Linked DNA regions of Drosophila melanogaster. The protein of the gene in region 3 interacts with the protein of the main gene of each other region in a pairwise test. Each region holds a gene or a part of one and is shown on either strand. Other genes may lie near its edges. The genes, in order: CG13144, CG8388, CG3342 and CG11771.

The links.
Region 1: the proteins of CG3342 (region 3) and CG13144 interact in a two-hybrid assay, tested with the Drosophila melanogaster proteins (one large-scale study listed by BioGRID).
Region 2: the proteins of CG3342 (region 3) and CG8388 interact in a two-hybrid assay, tested with the Drosophila melanogaster proteins (one large-scale study listed by BioGRID).
Region 4: the proteins of CG3342 (region 3) and CG11771 interact in a two-hybrid assay, tested with the Drosophila melanogaster proteins (one large-scale study listed by BioGRID).

Annotation. Positions count from the first base shown.
Region 1 is NT_033779.5:10,489,352-10,493,092, forward strand, and holds CG13144 (uncharacterized protein), read right to left. Parts: upstream 2,104-3,741; 5' UTR 2,014-2,103; coding exon 1,138-2,013; 3' UTR 549-1,137; downstream 1-548. Other genes in the region: CG6144 (uncharacterized protein), read left to right, coding at 1-357; Myo31DF (myosin 31DF), read right to left, coding at 2,980-3,148, 3,206-3,363, 3,438-3,741.
Region 2 is NT_033778.4:16,008,900-16,013,362, reverse strand, and holds CG8388 (uncharacterized protein), read left to right. Parts: upstream 1-1,924; 5' UTR 1,925-2,024; coding exon 2,025-2,144; intron 2,145-2,207; coding exon 2,208-3,154; intron 3,155-3,208; coding exon 3,209-3,590; intron 3,591-3,646; coding exon 3,647-3,916; 3' UTR 3,917-3,962; downstream 3,963-4,463. Other genes in the region: CG8389 (uncharacterized protein), read right to left, coding at 1-690, 749-1,222, 1,293-1,370.
Region 3 is NC_004354.4:6,525,555-6,529,421, forward strand, and holds CG3342 (uncharacterized protein), read right to left. Parts: upstream 2,335-3,867; 5' UTR 2,250-2,334; coding exon 2,197-2,249; intron 2,123-2,196; coding exon 814-2,122; 3' UTR 552-813; downstream 1-551. Other genes in the region: CG3918 (uncharacterized protein), read left to right, coding at 1-172; Agxt (Alanine-glyoxylate aminotransferase), read left to right, coding at 3,562-3,711.
Region 4 is NT_033777.3:24,930,341-24,935,419, forward strand, and holds CG11771 (uncharacterized protein), read left to right. Parts: upstream 1-1,669; 5' UTR 1,670-1,792; coding exon 1,793-1,896; intron 1,897-1,953; coding exon 1,954-4,042; 3' UTR 4,043-4,579; downstream 4,580-5,079. Other genes in the region: Osbp (oxysterol binding protein), read right to left, coding at 5,059-5,079.

The DNA.
Region 1 (3,741 bases), on a different chromosome or scaffold from region 3:
CTGTTCCATCCCATCATCTCCACCATTTCCACGGGTGCTCATACCGTGCTGGAGTTTGTCAAGCGTGAGGACACCACAACTGAAACAGAAGCTGGAGATCAGACGACCCGTGAAGTGCTCTTCAAGCTGCTGCTGGAACCGCGCAGCCTGCTCATCCTCAAGGACACGCTGTACACCGACTATCTGCACGCCATCTCCGAGACTAGCGAGGATGTGCTCTGCGATCGCATCTCCAACTACGATCTGTGCGAGAATACCTACAAGATCGGGGATCACTTAGTACGCCGATCGCCGCGCATCTCCCTCACCATCCGTAATGTGCCCAAGACCAGCAAGATGAAGCTCAAGTTCTGCTAGGTTCATTCCGCCATTCGATGTTCTTTGGCATTAAAGATTACAGATTACACAGATGTTGACTAGCTGCACGTTAAACGAACCCACTGAAGAGATCCCTGGGATCCAAAAAGAACTATGATAATCTGCAACCTGAATCTTCCGCTAGATGTTAAAGCACTCCGCACTAGCAGCACACTTGTTCGCAAGCAAATCCATGTTGGCCCACACAAAAGTGCTTTATTTATACCGCTAGCATTGTGTACATATATATAAATGTTTGTATTACGTATTACGGAGCAATAAGTTGTCCTGATCGGCGGACAGGCTCGAGCTGTATCCTCAGATTCCACCTGACCGCCGGCGGCCTTTAGATTTAGTTGTGCGAGCAGTTGTTGCAGGAATCCATGGCCTAGATTTGTGAAATATGTGGTTAACTTTGTATATGGGCATGTGCGACAACTGATTTTGATTATGATTGTCCTAATGCTTTGTACAATAGAATCTACACAGAATTTATGTAAAATCTTTCTGATTGAAAATGTTCCTTACGTTAACTACTAAGCAAATCAATTGCAGCCAAAGAAATCATAATGATGATCAGTTGACGAGATACCCCTTATATGTATGTTGAATGGAGCAGCCAGCACACTGGTTACCATAGTCGTGTGCTCCATGCTCCGGCCTCCTGTGTCCAAGTGTATTTTTGTAACCGTTTTTTCCACCGCGCACCGCAAAAAAGAGCGAAGAATTGCCAATAAACGTTATTGTCCACCTAACTCATCCTTTAAACCATTTAATCCACTAGGCCTCCTCATCCAGCCACTCCAGCCGGAACTCGCGCTCAAAGACCAGGCGATCGTACAGCCGCACCTCGCTAATCCTCGCCGAGATGTCCAGCCGCAGTTCGCTGACCGCCAGGTGGAAATTCTGACGCACCGTTCGCTGTTTGTCCGGTGTCAATTGATTGAGAGGTTTGCGAAAGATGCTGATGATGCGCTGCAGATGGTATTCCACGCTGGCACAGCGACCGATGCAAACCCACAAGTTCTCCGGATCGTGAATGTTACCCGGGAAGCGGGTGCGTTGATCGAAGGGCGCCTTGCCGGACAGCAGAGCTCTCACCTCGGCCACGATCTCCTGGTGCGTCCTCAGATCGCGTGTGCTGAGGGTGGTGAACTCATACTTGTCGCAAAAGTACATGAGCTCGGAGATGGCCACCCACGACTGGGAGCAGAGTGTGGCATGGTGATTCGACCAGTTGGTGTAGCCAGCTGGACTGGAGGTCTTGGTAGCCACGGCAGCGGTTGACGAGGAACTTGCATTGGGAGTCGGTGAAGTGCTCGTTGGACTGCCTGTCTTGGGCTTGGGCGTATCCGAACCATTTATGATGGACCTTCTTTCTGTGCGCTGCAGCTGCTCCATTTCCCGCTCGTGCTCCTTGGCCCTTAAATAGGCCTCCTTCTTCTGCTGCAACTCCTGAAGCTTGGTCATCTTTGGTGGCGACAACGACTTTGTGAAGATCGAGGGCGGTGGCGGCGCAGGAGCAGCCTGGTCGCCGTCTGTGTGTGCAATTGGTGTGCCGTTTGTGTCCAGCGATGCACTGCGTCCGTACTTGGCCCTATAGCGCTCCAGCGTGTCCAGCGAGAAGCTGAGCTCCTTCTTGATGGCCTTCTGCATGGTTCTGGTTTTCTGGCTTTATGTAATCACCTTGGGTGCTTCGATGCTCCGAATTGCACGCGTTCCCTTCGAGAATTTACAGGCGAATGCGAGCGCACATTCCGCATAAAGAGAGGCCGATCTCTTTATTTTTATCTTTTATCAATCGGCGGCGAGCCATGTGCACTTTATTTCGGTCTCTGCCAATACATTTTGATCGCATTCGCATACGAATGCGTACGGATTTTACGTTTGGATTTAAAGCAGCATTTGAAAAAGATTCACAGATGCAGAAACTCACAGATATTCAAATGCCGAACGCACATTTTGGGGGAATTCATGACGAAATGACCGAAATTTTGAATGGGTTCAATTCAGATCAAGGTTGGGATAGGGAACTTATGCACATTATGCTTATGTTTGGTAAGTTAACTTCTCTTTAACTTATTGATATAAAAAAATAGTCATTAACCAGCTTTCTCAAGTACAAAGTTTACATCTTTTATTTCATATATTATTTCAATAATATTTGCAAATGGCACACATATGTTTGTGATCTTTCGCTTTAAGTACAAACATTTTACTGATCGTTACAAATGGTTTCTTGTGTGCTGTGAATCATATTTGAAGAAATGCACAAAGTACATTTAATACTTTTCGTTCTTTTCGTCGGCCAGCTCAACCGGCGGAGGTGGTATTCCTCTCACATGGATGTTAAATAAATATCGCCTTAACGCATACGCATAATAGAAAAATGTACAAAATTACAATCATGTCGTCACACACAGAACAGATAAACAGATAGGACTAACTATAGAATGACGTATTAAAAACTACAAAGCGGGTGTTTGGCGGAAGGCACGGTATACACAGAGTCGTCATGTCCTTGGTGGGACACATGGGTCACAAGTAGAAAAGAGGGTGATGAGCCCAGTCTTAAAACTAGGTTCCATAATTTACAATACAGTTGGGCGGAGTTGATTCCGCCTAAACGCAGTACGCCGCCGGCACCTCGAAAATGATGTTGCCCTCTTTAGGACGGAAGTTGGGGACCTCCACATTGGACGCCGCCTCCACGGTAATAATGCGTGCCTTGCCGTCTAGGCGACAGGAAATATTGGTGGTCACATTCACACGCAACTCGGTTCCAGTGAGGCTGGAAAGGATTTGATATTAATATCTGGTGAACATACTAAATGGGCGTTCCACTTACTCATGGTATTTCTTGCACACAATGCCCACCACTTCGCCAATGCGATCTTCCTTGAGGGGCGTGTACTCGCTCTCCAGGGAAAACACTAAATCCTTGTTTTTCGACGAGTGGAAGACGATTAGTTGATCCCGGCCGGGTGAGACACTAATGGACGTCAACTGTAAGCGAAGTCAAGATACGGAATTAATATTATAATATAATAATATAATATATTATTATACTATCTACTAACCTCCCTAATTTTAATGGTGCGTTTCATGTCCTTAAATTTATTCTTGATACCGTCCAGTTTGTGGATGGTCGAATCGGAAACGATGAAGGCGCGATTAGCCTGCTTGTTGAAATGGTTGAACTTCTTGACGAATGAGGAGAAGAGCACTTGCTGGAAGGTCTCGCCGTCGGCGGGGTGGTTCCTTATGTTCTTTATGCTTCCGTTGTAGGCTTCATATCCGCTGTTCTCCTGCGAGTTGGCCAGATAATCACCCACCCAGCGGCGCGCTTGACCCCAATAGGGTCGTCTTCCGGCCAGCGCAGTG
Region 2 (4,463 bases), on a different chromosome or scaffold from region 3:
GTCTCGCACCCATCCCAGCAGCTGGCCCACTGTGATAACAATAACGCCCTTGGACATCATGCTCAGACCCAGACCGCCGGCCAGTTTTTCCGAGCGGCAATGCGCCGATATGGTGAGATTGTTGTTGATTACAGTGGCTGATTTCATCATGCCTGTCAACACAGACATGGTGATGATCACGGGCAGCGTTTGATTCTCGGCAAGCACACAGCGAGCGACAAAGAGTCCAACAATGCCGATCAGGAACACTACGCGATAGGGTATTCTAAGGTGATCTGTGACGATGGGCAGCAGCAAACGGAACACAATGTCGGCGCCAGCCACAAGGGACATGCAGAAGGCCACCATTTGGCTGTTAAGTTGTGCCGTTTGTCCAAGAAAACCAGGAAAGATCATCGTGAAGTTTATGGTGGCCGTATAGACTAGAGCCATGCCCACAATGATGCTCCAGAATACTAAATCTTTGAGCAGCTCCAGATCCATTGCCTGTACCAACCGCTGTCCCATTCGGCTGCACAGAGTATCCACATTTGGCGGGCTACGCTCGATCTTGCTTTGATTAGTCGGAACAATCACCACCTGAAGGGGACTAGTCTTTTCCCCATCGGCCTCGGTCAGGAGTCGAATGTGTTTGCGGTTGTTGTGCTTGGCAGGTGGGTTTAGTGGTTTCAAGAAGGCAGCACCAAAAAGCTGTAAGGTACTCGGGCTGTAAGCATTGGATCAACATAATATTATATTCTTAACTTACCCCAAATAGTGATAGGGAAGACATGGATAGGACTGCGTAGCGGAAGCCGTGGTTATCCAAGAGGTAACGCACTAGGTGAGGGATAAGCACCTGTCCAAGGCCAGCACCTGCCAATGAAACACCTACAGCCCGTCCTCGTTTAGTGGTGAAGTACGAGTTAATGGCCATGAATGTGGACGGCGAGATGAGGCCGAGTCCAAAGCCTACGAAGAAACTGTAGCCCAGAATGAAGTGCCAGCTTTCAGAGGCAAAGGCGCACAGAGCCAGGCCCAGGGCGACTAGGATGCAACCTGTAGCAGCTACATTTCGCGGCTTAAAGCTCTTAATCGCGGGTCCAATGAAGAGGCCAGAGAAATTGAGAGCTAGGCTGTTTAGATTCGTGATCAGGGCCGCCGTAAATGTGTCCTCTTGCATTTTCTGCAGCTCACCCACAAAGAGCTGGCCGAACACTGACAAAATGGATTGGTTGGTCATCTGGATGCCGGCATATGCAATAAATATGTTTAGTTTTGGGTATTCCTTTTAAAGACTATTGAACACTCACATTAATCAATGCAACGGCGGCCACCACAATCCATCCGTAGCCCCCATCGGGGACAACGCGACTCGATTGCACATCCATGACTGTGCTCTCCGAGTTTCTCGTCGAGATTAAGCTGGCTAAAAATATGTAAACAGCGATAAGTGGACTGTTATTAAAACGTCTGGATTTGTTTATGGCGTCTAAAGACAGGTGTAAAAGTGCGTTCCGATAAGCCCGGCGAAATGGCATTTACCCAGTGGAGACGAGTTGAACGGCTCGTCTCAGAGATTTCCCCAAACTGCGTGGCCATTTCGCAAGCAACGTTTTAACAAATTAAGGCGAATTAAAGCCTAAATTAAAATAAATTAATCCCAAAGTCACAAAACTTTGAATCAGTATGACCTCTCTGCGAATGCCATAAAACGTATATTCGGAAATATTGCGCACTTCCAGATATTGCGATATGCACCTTCTTTTTATGTGCGAAACTGTCAGTACAGATTCGTTTAATAAAATATTTAGGGTTTACTTTTCCAGATAGTGCTTATCTAAGTGCTTATTATAAGCAAGTGAAAACAAATAACCCGAAGTTTTTAATTCAAAAACACGACTATGGTCCCACTATTCTGGCGCCGCTTATCGATAGCCGCTAGCGATGACAGTAATCAGCTGTGCTTTGCCCTGTTTTCATTTGTAGAATAACACACATTTTTAATAATTTTTTTTGTATATTTTCGCGCGTCTCTCTCACAAATGCCTTGTTTTCTGTGCACTCAGACTGTGGATGATGCGGCGGGCAATATAGAGTTTGCCTCGGAGGAAGCCGATTCACTTGGCCTGCGGTGCATCATCGAGAAACACTTCTGGCTTCAGGTAAACAAACAAATATTACCTGTGTTATTATTGTTATTGTTATTGAAGAGTGATCTTTTTCAGATCCCTGACTCAAAAAGAGCCGGCTATGTGTGCGGCCCCTGCTGGGAGCAGCTACTGCTCTTTCACAACTTTTACCTCAATGTGGAACAAGCCCACAAAGCGCTGGAGCAAACTGTTTTGAAGGAGACATCTCCGCCAGAAGTGGTTGCTTCCGCTCTAGAAGAGCACATCGTTAAAAGCGAGCATGACGACAGCGTAGCCGCTGCCGTCAAACGCCGACGTGGACGTCCTCGAAAAGTCGCTCAACAGGATGCACGCGAGGAGTTGAAGAGCGTGCTGGAGCAAATCAATTTAAATGAAATAAAAATCGAGTTCCCCGAAGCTGACTTGACAATTGCCGATGTGCTTGAGGATCAGGAGGAGCAGGATTTCCTACCCGACGACTGCATCAGCAAGGAGGGAGCGGAGGATCCAGAGGTTTTGGAGAAAAAACCGCCGACGCTTAAGCGAAAGGTTAGCGGACGCTCAAGAGGTCGTCGACGCGTGCAACTCGCGGAACGGCCCAATACAAGCTGTCTGCCCAAAATCCAGAAATCACAAGAGTTTAATGATTATATTCGCGAGCACTATAAAGTTCAGTGCCACATCTGTAACTTGCCAATGGAGGACTTCTCCGAGATGCTGGCCCATGTACGACGGGAGCACAAGCAGCGCGGCTATGCAATGTGTTGCAACCGAAAATTCCTTAAGCGGGGAGTTCTTGTCGACCACTTGCGCCGCCACCAGGACCCTGAAACCTTTAAGTGCTCCATCTGCGGCCGCGTGATGGGCCACCGTCGAAGTCTTGAGTTGCACATGCGCATGCATGAGATCAAATCTCGCGGACGACTATACCGCTGTGAACAGTGCTCCAAGGCCTTCTACAGCGCCGTCGTCTATGAGCGCCACAAGCTGACTCACATTCCACGAGAGCAGTGGAAGGTCCCTTGCACGCACTGCGAGAAAACGTGAGTGACCGAAAGATTTACTCTTTCTCAGATAGCTACATTTGTATTTTTCAGTTATCCCAGTCAGTATACGATGCAGCAACATGTTAAGCTGGTCCATTTGAATTTATATGCCAAGATCTGTGATGTCTGTGGAAAATCGATCAGAGGACGCGAAGCCTTGGCCAGGCACATGGAGGAGCACACGGGAGGGCCGCAGGCAGCAATCAAATGCCACTTGTGCGACTCAATGCTAACCACCAAATATGGACTGGCCCGCCACATAAAAATGATGCATACCGCTGAGAACCTGCAGCCGATGCAGTGTGAATTTTGTCTTAAGATATGCCCCAGTCTACAGGCACACCAGCACCATATCAAGTACACCCACAATACGGCACGTAGTCATCAGTGTCCTATGTGCGAAAAGGCCTTCAAGAGACCAAATGAACTAAAGGTAATTAGCGAAATCAGTGACCGATGAAAGCAATTGATTTTGAACTGTTCTTGCAGGAACACATGACAACCCACACGGGCGAGGTTTTGTACACATGCCCCCATTGCCCGCAAACCTTCAATTCAAATGCCAACATGCATGCGCACCGCAAAAAGGTGCACCGCAAGGAGTGGGAGGAGAACCGACACAAGCGACTGAATCGTTCTCGCAAATCAGACACCATCATCGCCGTCAGCGTACGAAAGACCACAGAGACCAGGCAGGATGGAGGGTTGGTACCTGCAGAAGCGATAGCAACTACCAGCAGCCCTCGAGCAGAATGCTAGCCCTAGGTGACCTTTTGACGCAATAAAAAACCAAATGGGACACCGTACCCCTATTGTGATGACTGCAGTGGCGGGGTAAACAAATTATGTGATTATTAATTGAAATCCCTGTGTCGATGGGATCAACCGGCTGAAACTGGTTTGTCCATCTGCCCCCCGATCATCTCGAACTGGTAAAACGGACATCGGAGCTGGCGTTATCAGCGATTAAGGTCGAATCTGGTAATTCATAACACATATAGACGCATATAGCACAACGGTTCAGTTTAAATACTCTTATTTTGACGACGACCAACCCGGGATGCTTCAACGGCTCAGGCAGACGGAGAAACCAGTTTGAGTCGGTTTGGAAAAGTGGATTTAATCCTTATCAGCGAATTGGCATTATCATGGTATCAGTTCAAAGGTATCATCAATCGGCGTGTGTGTTTGTACACATTCTAGTCTTCTGCGGAATCCTCAATCTGTGCCAAAGAAATGACTAGGCACGTTATGATGTTTTGTTTTTTCATCTGTGGCAACATCTTATTTACCAATGGAATATTTG
Region 3 (3,867 bases):
CGGACGCAAGAAGAAGCGGCAGGGCAAGTACAAGCGCAAGTCCACGGACACGGCCATGCTGCGACGCAAGAAGACCAAGGCGAAGCGGAAGCGACATCGTGCCGGCGGATCCGGTGCTCCGACCGCCGGCAGCAGCTACCTGAGCAGCCTCAGCGACAGCAGCACCTACTGAGAAAGAAAAGAAACAAACAAGGATTAACTGGATCAGCAAGAGAATCTAGATGTGGATCTGTATCTGGATCTGGATCAGCATCAGGATGGATAGACAGCTGCCTCCCAAAGCACTCGCTCCGCAAACTAGCTCGCTTTCCATTTTAGCCGTAAAAACGTAAAGGAGCAGGACCGCCAGCCCATCCTTTCCGCTCCTCACTTCCACAGAGAGACTGCCAGTTCCACTTCCAGTTCCAGGCCCCAAAACAACTTCTCCATGAACTCTTCCCACGGATTATGAGACGCGCAAACCGTAGACTTGTCCCTATACCTTAAATTTCAGCCCGATGTGTGCTGCAAATACAACAAATTAGTTTGTACAAGAGGAAGTCGGAGTTTTTCATAATTGAGAGAGAGCAAAGCATGGGTTGCTATTAATTATAATCTTCCGCAACATATTTTATATCTCACATTTAGTAATAATAGTTGTAATAGATTAGAAAATCGCTTTGTAAATGAGCCCAATAACATGGCAATCTAATGACTTAAAGATAGCTAATAGTGTCTGGCTTGTATTTGTGGATATGTTACGCGACCTAACAAATGATTTAATACACTTTTCGATAGTAATACCGAACATATATAATACGCCTACGTTAGGTGCTATAACCGACCCGAACTGGAGCTGGAGTCGCCTGATTTCTGAAAGATTCGCAGCGCTTCCTGCAGTGCGGAAATGTGTAGCTGCATTTTGGCTATTTGCCGGGAAGACGACTCGCAATTGCGGCAATGGGCAGGCGAAGCAGCTGTGCTTGAATCGGAAATATGCTGGCTGGCTAACAACAGCTGGGCATTCTGCGACTTGAGCTCGCCATTCTGGACTAGTAGCTCCTCGCAAAGGGCGCACGCCGAGCAGCGTAGATCCTCCAGCGCCTGTTCGCGTGCCTTGAGGTTGCGCATTAGCGCTCGATTCTCCCGCTTCAAGTTGAGCAGCTTCTGCTCCAGCTCCAGCATCTCGTCCTCGCTGTCGCGTTCCAGCAGCGGATCACTGGGCTTCTTGGGCGCAACACTCGACTGGCCGCCCATGCGATTCATGGCCTGCAGAATGGCGTCCATCTTGTGCTCCATTAACGCACCCGAGGCACGCTGTTCGTCTAGATATTTGTCCAGTGTCGTCACAGCCAACGGAGTATCGCTGCTCGTTGAAGCGTTGGCCACCGCCAGGGAACTGGCACTGAGTTTCCTGTGAGCATTTGACGAACCTATGGGTCGCGGCACTGGCGTTACTATCACATCCTCATTGGAAGGTGTCTCTGTTTCCCGTTCGCGTTCCTCATCGTCCGCCTTCTCCAGCGTTGGCAGCGTTACGCGGGAACGTGGTTGCGGCTGTGGCGGATTAGGCGTCGTCTTTGTGACCGTTGCTTTAGTTCGGATCTTAGATAAATCCTCACGCGAAGGCGATGCCGAGCTGGAGGATGAGATCTCGCTGAGATAGTGCTCCACTGGCAGTTTGTTTTTGACCATAAACGTTATGAATTCCTTCTCATCCGGTTCCTTGTCGAATCGCAGGCTCCAGAAGCGCTGCTCGTCATCGTAGAACTGCAGATAGGATTCGCGCAGTATCACCTTGCCGCCACGCGGTGTCAACTGCAGCGTGGTCAGCACCTGACTCTTGCTGCGGTAGACAATCAGCTTGCTGGCCTCCATCTCGCCCAGAATCGAGAGGGCCAGGCCGACGCGTCCAACGTTCTCGCTGCTCCGATAGGCATGCACCACCTTGGCAATGGCCGTGTTCCAGGCGGCAGGCGGTGAATCACCCGTCTCCTGGGTGCTACTCCTGGTCATGGCCGGTCTTTTGCCAGCCTGCAATTTTTTGGAGCTGCCTGGCTGATAGCGCAAGCTGGATGATTCGTTCGCCAGCGGACGATCGTCGTCCTCAAAGATCTGGCGCAAGTTGCGAGGACCCGATTCACTGGAGTTCATATATATTTAATATGTATATACCACTGTGCCAAGTGTCCCAATCCCGTCCAGAAACAGACTCACCTTCGCAACTTGTCGAAGAAGTCCTGATAGGACTGATCGTTGCCGATTTCCATGCCTAATTATGCAGTCGCATCGAAAATGTTTAAAAACATTAACTATTGTTCAGTTTGTTTTGACCGAAACAGAAAGTGTGACCAAGCGCCAAAACGAAGAAAACTTGTTTCCACCGGTGAATTGCTTTCAGGAAAATTATAAAATATTATAACTAAATATTAAGCAAAAAGGCCATAAAATAAACATATTTATACATATATATGTTTAATATAGTCAACTGTAATAGAATATATATTCTATATTCAATTCGTTTCAATATAATTAATTCAATATATTAAAACCAAACTGAACTTACTTCTACATTCGAAACAATGTTTTTAAAAAGATGCTTGTGCCTTAAATATGGAAAAATCAATCAATATTTAAACGAACATTTAAATTTTATAGTCACGACCTGCTAATTTGACTGCTTATCACTTTCCTAAATCTATGTTTTTGTTTTTATTTTGATTCTAATTTCACCACCAGCGAAATGGTAATAAATATTTTCGGCCACTCAATACGACATTTGTATTATTGGCGGTTGACCTCCTGGTCACGATGTGTTTTCCACTCCAAATCGCTAATGGAAAAACTGACGATACGGGCACTGCTATCAACCCAAATGTTAGTTGTCAGTGGGCTGAGATTTCGAGAGAATTAAGATCTAGATGCTAGATCTTGATCTCTGCACTCTGCAGATGCTTCCAGCTTCGAAAAAGAAGTTGCTACATTACGTATACGTACCCACAGTCAAGGTTCGTCTTGCTGAATTCGCTGGATTTCTTATTTCACAATAGACATTGGTCCGCCAACCTTCCCAAGGCCATTCAAAGAATCAGCAGCAGCACACTGCAAACAAAAAATGGTACTTCTTTCAGATTAACAATGAAATTAATTGAGTAGTAAGTCATATTATTTCGTAAAGATCTTGTCTTAAAACTGTGTATGATTTTTTGACCCATCAAATGGCAGTCTTAACTTATTATTCTTATTCCAAATTTCGTTCTGTGCCGCCAACGACGCAGTTGCTCTCGATCTTGATGCCTTGATAAGCGGGAGAGCGCATCATTTACCACTTGTTCAAGTGCGTTCATCGGCGAAAATTGCGGCGATAAGCTGCGATCCGGTGCGCTATAAAGTGGCCAGCAGCCCGGCAAGCGTTTCAGTCCGATCTTGGCCAGCCACCGAGAGAGACAGCCCATAAAAACCAACTCCCATCACCAAACAGTAGTAACACCCATTCTACCTGGCACAGCGGATTAGAGAGCAGAAGGCGATAAGGCAGTCGTAAACACAGAGATCTGATTACGTAAATAGGGAACAAAGACCATGGAGGTACCACCGCCACTTGTACTCAAGCGACCGCTCTATGTGCCCAGCAAGACGTTGATGGGGCCCGGACCCTCCAACTGTTCCCATCGCGTCCTGGAGGCCATGAGCAATCCGGTGTTGGGTCACATGCATCCCGAATGCCTGCAGGTACAATATCTTCTTAAAACCACAAAAGTGCTAGCAAGATTGAGCTTAATACTCGAATTATATCGAAAAGTTAAGCCCAAGTCCATATACTCATGGGCCGCACTGTACCTTATCTGAACGAAGTGAAACATTGAGATACATTTGCTGAGCTGGGTC
Region 4 (5,079 bases), on a different chromosome or scaffold from region 3:
TCCTTTAATAGCAGCCAATCTAGATCCTCAAGAACCCTTTGAATTCCGACCATGTGAACTAGCAAAGGTTATCAAAGAGCAACTGAACCCAAGAAAATCGCCTGGCTACGACCTAATAACTCCAAGAATGCTCATTGAACTCCCAAAGTGTGCTATTCTTCACATCTGCCTGTTGTTCAACGCAATCGCCAAGCTTGGATACTTCCCTCAAAAATGGAAAAAGTCGACCATAGTAATGATTCCAAAGCCAGGAAAAGATAAAACGCAGCCATCATCATATAGACCGATAAGCTTACTAACATGTCTTTCAAAGCTGTTTGAAAAAATGCTACTCCTTCGGATTAGCCCTCATCTTAGAATAAACAACACACTTCCAACACATCAATTTGGCTTTAGAGAAAAACATGGAACCATCGAACAGGTCAACCGAATCACGTCAGAAATTCGTACTGCTTTTGAACATCGAGAATACTGCACAGCCATTTTTCTAGACGTCGCGCAGGCATTTGACAGAGTGTGGCTCGATGGACTTTTGTTTAAAATAATCAAGCTGTTGCCCCAAAACACACATAAGCTACTGAAGTCATACCTATATAACAGAGTGTTTGCAATAAGATGCGATACAAGCACTTCACGCGATTGCGCAATCGAAGCTGGAGTGCCGCAAGGCAGTGTACTGGGTCCAATCTTATACACCCTGTATACGGCGGATTTCCCCATAGACTACAATCTAACAACCTCCACGTTCGCTGATGATACCGCGATACTCAGTCGCTCGAAATGCCCAATAAAAGCCACGGCACTCCTATCCCGACACTTAACATCTGTAGAACGATGGCTTGCCGACTGGAGAATTTCAATAAATGTTCAAAAATGCAAGCAGGTTACCTTTACCTTAAACAAACAAACATGCCCACCACTGGTCTTGAATAACATATGCATTCCACAAGCCGACGAGGTAACATATCTGGGAGTTCATCTGGACAGGCGGCTCACTTGGCGCAAACATATAGAAGCCAAATCGAAACATCTTAAACTTAAAGCAAGGAACCTCCACTGGCTCATAAATGCTCGCTCTCCACTTAGTCTGGAGTTCAAAGCTCTTCTATACAACTCCGTCTTAAAACCTATCTGGACTTATGGCTCCGAGCTGTGGGGCAACGCATCCAGAAGTAACATAGACATTATTCAGCGAGCACAGTCAAGAATTCTGAGAATTATCACTGGAGCGCCGTGGTACCTTCGGAACGAAAACATACACAGAGACCTAAAAATCAAATTAGTAATCGAAGTAATAGCTGAGAAAAAAACGAAGTATAACGAAAAGCTGACCACCCATACAAATCCCCTCGCAAGAAAACTAATCCGAGTATGCAGTCAAAGCCGGCTGCACCGCAACGACCTCCCAGCCCAGCAATAAACTTATTAGGGCATTAATGAAAAAAAAAAAACTATCACTAAGTGAAAGTTAATTAAGTTAGATTAAGATTTGAACACTTATTGTTAGTCTCTTAACACAAAGGGAAGATTCAATAAATAATAAAAATTAAAAAAAAAAAAAAAAAAAAAAAGAGAAGTCACAGATTAGGATAGATTGGATTCAGTGACTGCAGTAAAGTGTGATTTTCGCATCACTGCCGGCTCCACCGCTGATGGTGGCAACCCTGGCCGCTGTCACTTGCTTTTTGGTCCAGGCGTGTTGTGTAAACGCTGGCCCCCATTTCAGAATCCCAAATTCCGGCGCAAACTGTCCGGAATTGTACATATCTGGATTAACGACTTCACCTAGGACATGCTAAATCTCCTACGAAGGCGCCCAACGTCGGTGCCCCTCATCCGGGCCGCGCTTAGCGCTCCGCTGCACTCAACGGAAAACCGGCCGGGTTACATAGTGCTGTAAGTACGAAAATTACCCGGATTCAACATGTGGAGTCACTAAACCTATCCCCGCAGGGTACCGGAGATCGGTGAGGAGGGACCGCTAGGCGAGGGCGTGCTCAAGCCGGACGGACTTCCCGCCTTCAGTGACATCACCATCGAGATGTGCTTGGGCGCCATTGGTCAGCAGGCATCGGCGGTGGAGAACTCGGTGAAGGCGCTGGAGAGCGACCTGCACAGTGGCAAGCAGCTAAATGCCGCCAGCATCTTTCGGGAGCTGGACACCGTGACGGGTCCACTGGAGACGACATGGGGTGTGGCCAAGGCTCTGTACCTGGGCAATTCTACCCTGATACCCACCAAATCCTACATGAACATCCACGAACGAGCGCGTAACGCTCGGGCAGCGAAGTTCTGCAATCAAACGGTGTATAAGGCACTCAAGGATGCTTCGTCCGATTCGGGTCCAGATGAGCAGAGGATGCGACAGAAGTTCCTGCTCGAGGGCAAGCTGAACGGGCTCACGCTGGACAAAGATAAGCAGGATGGACTGAAAGAGCTGCTTACCCATTTGGGTCGAGAGAGAGCCAACTTCAAGAACAAGGTCAACATGGCAGTGCACTCGTTTGGACAGATTATTACGGACTTCAATCTTGTAAGAGATTTCCCGCCTTCGCTTCTTGAGGCAACAGCCCGCGATCCCGGACAACCTATGACGGGTCCTTGGAAGATAACCCTACAGCCTCAAGTGGTCGATGGTTTTCTAAAGCACTGCCCAGAGCGAATGCAGCGTTGGAACGTCTGGAGGGCCAGTGTGCTGAAGGCATCCTCGCAGCAGGAAAAATCCCTGGAGAACAGCACACACATCGAAAAAATACGCGGTTTGCGCAAGCGACAGGCAAATCTGTTGGGCTATGAAAGCTTTGCAGACATGTCCATGCAGACCAAAATGGTGGGCAGTGTGGACAACCTTAAGCAGATCTTTGCCAAGCTTCTCAAGTTCGCCGGCCCTGCTCAAAGTGTGGAGCTGGAGAAACTACAGGGCTTCGCTCAGGACAGTGGCTGTGAATACAAGCTGGAAGCCTACGACGTTGCCTACTGGCGGCGCAAGCAACTGGCGGCGGAGCACGGTCTCCAAGATCAGAAGCTCCGCGAGTTTTTCCCACTGCCCCGCGTTCTTTCCGGCTTGTTTGCGCTGAGTGAAAAGCTCTTCGGCATCAAAATAGTTGAGCAGCCCAATGCGGAGGTGTGGCATCCGGCAGTTAAGTTCTACGATGTGTTCGATGCTGATTCCGTCAATAGCTCCACCCCGGTGGGTGGCTTTTATGTGGACTGCTATTCCAAGGAGCACAAGTTCGGCAGAAACAATGGTTGGATGGTGGGCATACGGAACAGCAATAAGTCTGCCGGGCTGACGCCTCTCTGTGCGCTGATATTTAACTTTTCGGAGCCACAAAGTCCGGATGCCAAGCCCCCGCTTCTTGGATACGATGATCTGCAGATGCTCTTCAAGACTTTTGGAAGCGGACTCCAACACCTGCTCACCCAAGCGGGGTACAGCGATTTGGCGGGACTCTCAAACATCGAGTGGGATGCCTCTCAAGTGTCCGGTCATGTGATGAGCAACTTCCTCGACGATCCCACAGTGATTCGAAGCCTATCCGGACACTTTAGCAGCGGTGAGCCCTTGGAGGCTGAGCTTTCACAGAAGATGCGATTGCTGAAGACTCAGTTGGCTGGCTATAATCTGTGCCAGGACCTCTACCTGGCGGATCTCGACGTGGAGCTGCACCGCTCGAATGCCTTCTGGCTGGAGGTGGTTCGCAAGCTGTGGCCGGTTTATCAATGCATGCCGCTGGACAAGAAGGACGCACATCCGTGCTCCCTGACCGACATTTTTGCCGGAGATTGGGCGGCCGCCCAGTTCAGTCACTTGTATTCCCGCCTCATAGCCGCCGACATTTCGAGCAGCTTTGCTGAGCAGCGAAGCGAAGAGAACTACGCGGTCGTTGGCCGGCGCTACAAGCAGACCTTCCTCAGCTGCGGCGGATCTGTGCCCACGGCGGAAGTGTTCCGTCGCTTCCAGGGTCGCGACCCGTCGGCCGAGGCACTTCTAAAGTCGCTGGACATATTTGAACCCTCCCAGACCACAGATAACAACTGAGGGTCGCCCTCTGTTCCGCTAAAACGTTATCTATTGTGTGTAGTCAACAAATGCTGATCGATGGCAGCCTGTGGAGGCCCGACGAGTGGCAACCTTATAGGAAAGTAAGCATTGGAGTATTGGAAAATATTTTAAAATAGTTTTGAAATGTATTCTGTTAAATATTTGTTTATTGGTCAAGATCCCACTTGTACTTATTTAAAAGAAAGTATAGCCGTAATTGAATGACCCCAGCCAGGAAACTGAAAACCAAAAACGATTGATAAGGGCTTTATAAATTTTGGAAGTGTAACTATTAAAACAAGAATTCTATACTTTACGCCTCCACGATTTATTAGTCGGCAATTCGATCTACACCCTAATTGGCAGCCGGATGTGATAGCGATCGCGTGAGTCAGGCGGGATCTTATCGCAGGTGTGCAGGTGGTGTCGCCAGGCGACATCGTCAGTTACCCCAGTTGAACACACATACACACACACGTTGTTGCTTTATTTAAATAATACTTTAATAATAAATTGCATAAATTTATAACATTTAACATATTCTCTCGCTTCTTGCTCGGTTCTCTCGATTCGGTTCGATATATTTATATACACAACAAAGGCGAAGTATGCATTCAGCGGAAAGGAAAAAGACATCTAGGGGTTTGGATGGAAACCGAGGATTAAGAGCTATCATCTGTCTTGGCCTTCTGTTGGAAAGCCACTAGAAATGGTTAACCGGTAGTCAGGAAGAAATAATCAAAGTACATTTCGACGCAGGGGTATGGATTAAACTTGGTTAGTTTACAGGAATTAATTTATATATATATATATATATAAATATGCTCTAGATCAAAGTGTGGTACTACAATATGCGTATGTGCTGCTCCGAAATCAGTCGGAGCGTGTCCCGCTGTGGTGTGTTAGTTGTGTGTGGAGGCTGGATATCTGAAAACTTTAGAATATTCGCTAAGGCTGCTATGTGTGGTAGTGGCTGCAGTTGCTCCCTTGGCTGCTCCGTTGGCTACTGCTGTCTAGTATATGTCCGGACAGCC